Ovis aries: one gene and its partner. The protein of the gene in region 1 interacts with the protein of each later gene in a biochemical or structural test. Links are inferred from orthologs where the notes say so. Each region holds a gene or a part of one and is shown on either strand. Other genes may lie near its edges.

The links.
Region 2: the proteins of DCN (region 1) and TGFB1 form a complex in vitro, tested with the Homo sapiens proteins (3 studies listed by BioGRID). The link is inferred for Ovis aries from reciprocal best matches to the Homo sapiens genes DCN and TGFB1.

What each region holds. Positions count from the first base shown.
Region 1 is NC_056056.1:127,553,290-127,555,625, forward strand, and holds part of DCN (decorin), read right to left. Parts: intron 1,435-2,336; coding exon 1,296-1,434; intron 1-1,295. UniProt on the Homo sapiens protein: May affect the rate of fibrils formation.
Region 2 is NC_056067.1:50,056,175-50,059,674, forward strand, and holds part of TGFB1 (transforming growth factor beta-1 proprotein), read right to left. Parts: intron 2,314-3,500; coding exon 2,153-2,313; intron 953-2,152; coding exon 835-952; intron 1-834. UniProt on the Homo sapiens protein: Transforming growth factor beta-1 proprotein: Precursor of the Latency-associated peptide (LAP) and Transforming growth factor beta-1 (TGF-beta-1) chains, which constitute the regulatory and active subunit of TGF-beta-1, respectively.

The DNA.
Region 1 (2,336 bases):
AACAAGCTTAGAGGAACTTCCTTTCTCATTTCTAAACATAATCAGAAGTTACAGTTATCAAAAGGTATAGTACTAGCAAAATAAAATGTGGTATATCCATATAATGATGTGCAATTCATCAATAAAAATGATTGAATTATTGACACATGCTGTGATATGGATGACTTAAAATTACTCTGATAAGTGAAAGAAGCCAACCACAAAAGCCACACCTTGTATGATTACATTTAGAAATGTCTAGAAAAGAAACATATATAGAGAAACCAGATTAATGATTCCCTGTGCCTGAGGACGAGATTGAGAACAACTAGAAATAAATATGAAAGAGGCCTATTTGGGAGGTAATCAAAATATTCTAAAACTATATTGTGGTGATAGTTGGATAATTACATAATTTAAAAATATTTGGACTATATGGATATAGAAAAAAAAAGTAGAGTAGGTGAAACCGCTAAGAGCCTCGAGAAATGTAGGTAATATGACTACATGGATGCCAACTGGAAATGGGAAACTAAGAGCAAGGTCCTTCTGAATGCGGGGCCCTGTGTAAATGTCCATGAAATTTGCTGATATTCAAGGAAGATTTCAAAATGGCATGTTTGATAATTTTATCTCTGTGACCACAGTAAGACACACTATATATTGAGCTTTTCATATATATAATCTTTTAAAAATACACAATTTAAACAACATGTTTGTTTAATTTCCTCAAGATAACAATGGAAATCTTATATTGTTATATATGAAATCACTATGACTACTTAAAGTAATAAGCATGACTTACTTTTACAGATTTATGAACTGTAAAGCTCTGTTAGCATAGTGAACCACTGAACCATATCTTCTTATCTTTAAGAATATATGATAACTGATAATTTATATGAAGTTAATTCAGTCACACAGCTAGGTAGACATTGTCTTTTGACCTACAAGATGTTTGTTGAAACTCAAAGTTAAAACTATTTTATTTCATATGCATAGATTACAGATGATATCTAAATACTATGTATTTGTAACACTGATCTGTGACTTGAAACTACCCTGCTTCATAAAAAATAAATTACATTCTGGAAGCAAGTAATATAGTAAGTTCAAGGTAGTAGTCCTAATTAAAAAAAATTAATATTAATTTAAACCTATATATCTCACAGAACCAGAATGAAAATTCATGTAGAAACATTAAAAATATCTCTCTGCAAAAACATTTCTAAGCAGAATTTCCTGCCTCCAGGCATCCCAGTAGGGATGATTTGCTCCCTAGATATTCCTCACAATAGTTAGTGGTTTTATATTACCTGGATGTACTTATGGTCGGCCAGCCCACCGGGCACTTTGACAAGCTTGTTGTTGTTCAAATGAAGTTCCCTCAAATGAGGAGTGTTGGCCAAAGAGCCATTGTCAACAGCAGAGATGCTGTTGAAACTCAGTCCCAACCTGCAACAGAAAACAGAAATGAATGGATCACTGCACATGGATGCCTTCTTACAATAGGAAAGGCATTTTTTTGTTGTTTTGTTTTTGTACTATTACCTCTGCCTAATGTGATTTTCCCCAAACTATCTGAGCTTGGATAGAGCCGATTTGTTCTTAAGGTTTCATCTCAGATACAGTCTGCCCCTAGTGAATGCTCATAGAGCACCCAGTTGTCACCCTCTTGTAACACTCAAGGGGCTGTGTACTTGTGTGTCTTGCTTTGAGAAGAGTGACTGTCTTGTATATCTGGTACTAACCCAGAGCTTGATGTGATCAAGAGTTGATTGTATAATGAATGCAGTTTACTCAACTGAGGCAAAATGAAAGGGACACTATTACTATCTGGGTCACTTTGTAAAGCAAGCAATTGTATTTGTATTAGACAAATTTATTTGTTGTAAATAAAAAGTGAAAGTTTGTAATGTCAACAAATCTACCTGCCAGAAAGCTCAACAGAAAATATGGTTAAAAGAGTCTATCAATGACAATCTGTTACTGTCAGAATATGCCTGGTATCAATATTCCTGGCTTCTGACACTGATCTCTGAGCTATGAGCCTAGAGCCCTGACCTCTGACCCTGATCTTGCCCCTTCTTCCATTTCTCATACAATGCCACTCAAGGTTCTGGGTTGTATTTTTTTCGTTAAATGTTTAGCAAGTGTGAGTCTGCAGCTTTGATGTTCCCTCACAGTGCGTGCTAGGTCACTTCAGTCATATTCGACTCTCTGCGACCCTATAGACTGGAGCCCACCAGGCTCTTCTGTCTATGGGACTCTCCAGGCGAAACTACTGGAGTGGGTTGTCATGCCCTTCTCCAGGGGATCTTCAAGACTCAGGGTTCAAACCCGTGGCTCCTGCCTTG
Region 2 (3,500 bases), on another chromosome or scaffold:
CTTGAACCCCCTCAGAGGAGTAAGGGTACCCACTCTGGGCTCCTATAGCACTTATGGCCTCCCCTGGCCATCATGGCCTGCTAGGGCTTTGGGCAAGATTTCCTGGGTATCTAGAAGTGAGTGCGGGTCCCATGAGGGCAGGCCTAGAGGTTGTCATGGTTACCTCTGATTCCCCCACCCCACCAGCATAGGGCCAGCCAGAGAGCAGGAACCTACTAGCATTTACCCCAGTGAAGGAATGAATGAGAGGGAGACTCAGAAGGGAGATGTGAGCACTGGGGCCTTCAACATGACAGGACAGACAGTCCTCTTCCAGACAGAACAGGTGTGTCAGGCTTTCCCTGGACTCGAGGCCTCTGCACAGCCTATCCCCCTGCCTTGAACACTTTTGCCCCTCCCTCCTATCCCAGGCTGGCCCCAGGCATCCCTTCGATACCCGCTCCAATATCCCCTCCTCCAGGAAGCCCTCCCTGACCTCCCAGGCTGCATCAGGCACTTCCTCTGGGCTCCCCATCCCAACCCTGCCCACACTGGGACATTACTACCTGGTTTTCAGGTCTTTTCCCCAAGTCCCCCAACCCAAGCAATGGAGCACAAGCTTCCTGAAGGTCAGGATGAAGCTGTTTCCGTCACTTCTGTGTCTCCAGCATCACCCAGCACAATGCAGGTGCTCAAGAAATAGATTAACCATTAATCACTCAGGTGTGAGTGTCTGGGAGGAGGGCCAGGTCTGGGCTCTTCAGCACCAACACAAGGCAGGGGGTGCTAGGCAGGGTGGTCCCAGGACAAATAATGGGTTACAAAATAGAGGTGGGGCAGACAAGTGGTCCTCACCTCTGTGGGTCAGCCACTGCCGCACAACTCCAGTGACGTCAAAGGACAGCCACTCCGGTGAGTCGCTGGGGGCGAGCAGCCGGTTGCTGAGGTAGCGCCAGGAATTGTTGCTATATTTCTGAGGGATGAAGAATTGGGTGAGATAGTGGGTAGAGGCTGCCACACACACCCATGTATCCTGCACCCCTCACTCCATCTGCTTCCCAAAACGGGTCTCCACACAGTCCATCAGACAGTCCACCTCCCAGACATCCACACTGAGGGACTTCATAGAAACCACCCAACCCCATGACAGGGGACAAAGAACTCCAGGCTGGGGCTCAAGGCACCTAGGCATTTCAGCCTCCACCCTTGATTCCGGGATGGCTGTGGAAAATTCCTTTCTCTTTTTTGGCCTCAGTTTCCTCACTGATGAAATGCCCAGTTCCTTTCAGCTTGGACAGCTCATGAGGCTAAAATTCCCCTACTGACATCATAGAGGTCATTGACGATACAGCTCTGAATTCCGAGAGTCTATCGCTTTCTAGAAGTTATGTTCGAAGTCATTCCATAACTCCAGCACTTGGTGGCACCCCAAGAATTACACATTCTATGAACCCGAGAAGTTTTATGAGAGTCAAGTTCAACAAACCCAGGAGTTCGATGAGCCAGAAACCTAGACGTTGCAAACGCCTGACATCCACAAGGAATGATGACACCCTGGGAACTGGCAGCATAAAGCCGAGTTCTCTAGATTCCGAGCAGTTGATATCAAAGCTTCCTCATCGTAAGAATCTAACATCGACCACTGAATCTAACATTCCATCTGACAGGGCGTCTAGGTCACATAACCTTCAAGAAAATCCAGATTTTCTGGACTCTTCCTGGAGACTCTTCTAGAACAGAGCTATCCAAGAGAACTTTCTGTGACGATGCAAATGGGCTTTATCGGTGGTGTCCAAAATAGCAGCCACTCACCCCATGTGACTACGTGCCACTTGAACTATGGCCAGTGAGACTGAGAAACTGAATTCTTTCTTCTATTTAATTTTAATCCACTTAAATGGCCATATGTGGCTAGTGGCTACTGGGTGGGCACAGGGCGTTTTGAAAGTCTCCAACTTTTCAAAGATTCCAACTTTCCTTGTCCTGAGTTTTCAGAGTCCAGCTCCGAAAATTCCAGCTGCTAAGCATTTAACATTCTAAGGCTCTAGGAGACTCCACACTCTGTGCTCCCTCATCCTTCAGGGTTGGTCCTCGTGGACCCTGCAGCCACCAGCCTTGCAGCCGTCCTGGGACCCCCCCAGCCCAGGCCACCTTCCAGGACCCTTGCCCCCACCTGGTACAGCTCCACGTGCTGCTCCACTTTTAACTTGAGCCTCAGCAGGCGCAGCTCTGCCCGAGAGAGCAACACAGGTTCAGGCACTGCTTCCCGGAGCTCAGACGTGTTGAAGAACATATATATGCTGTGCGAGCTAGACTTCATTTTGTCATAGATTTCTAGGCAGAAAGAGTCGGGGTGGGGGGCTGTCAGTGTTTGGCAAGGGGCAGGGGAGCTAGTGTACCCCAAATCGAAGAGCTCTGGGTTGGACTCTGACCCTGACACTTTTTAGCTGTGTGACCTTAGGTGACTAGCTTCTCCTCTCTGAGTTTGTTTCCACCTCTTTATTATTATTTTAAATATTTATTTATTTGGCTGTGCAGGGTCTTAGTTGTGGTGTGGGATCTTTGGGCTTCGTGCAATGTGGGGTCTTTAGCTGCAGCATGCAAACACTTCGTTGTAGCATGTGAGATCTAGTTCCCTGACCAGGGATCGAACCTGGGTCCCCTGCATTGGGAACTTCGAGTCTTAGCCACTGGACCACCAGGGAAATTCCTCTAGCTCTTTAAACAGGGTCCTATCCATTCTTCCCTCTCATCAGGTAGGAAGTGGCCCCTCAGTACAAAGCCGGCTTGAGGATGGGGCTGCTCTGCTTGCTCAGGCCTCCCCAGCTCCTGGAGTCTCAAATGCAAGTTACGTTGAAGCAGAGAGATAAAGGGCGCTTGGATGAGACTATGGCTTTGCTGCCTTCTGTGACCCTGGGCAAGTCACATTCCCTCTTGGAGTGGTTAAATCTACTTGACATCAAGCTCTCTGCCTCCCAACCCAGGCTCTCCTAACTGAAGCACAGTGGAACTTTGGGCAGATGAATTCCTCTCTCTGTGCCAGATTCTCACCTATAAGCCAAGGACTGATGTCAGGATGCCAGTGTGAAATAGATGAGATGATGCAGATAAAGTATGTGGCACAGAGTCTGCATACAGTAGTTACTCTAATGTGTATTCAACAACCCCATGAGAAAGATTCTATTAGTATACCCATTTTATAGATGGGCAAACTGAGGCAAAGAGATGAAACAATTTGTCCCTAAGCCACACAGCCAGGAAACTACAGTGTGGGGTGGGGATTCAAACTCGGCCAGTCTGATCCGAGGCTATGCTCTTAATCCCTAGGCTATGCTCCCTCCCTGCTAATGTGGCATTATTTTTGTTATTATTAGTAGTATTTCCTCCCTTAACTGGTTATAGAAAGCCAAGTTCATTCTAGATAAGGATGGCTTCAGGGGTGGGGGAAGGGAAACAAAATTAAGAAGACTCCCAGTTCAGGAAAAATTGGGGACTGGGACTGAAGGGGGCAGGCCATGATC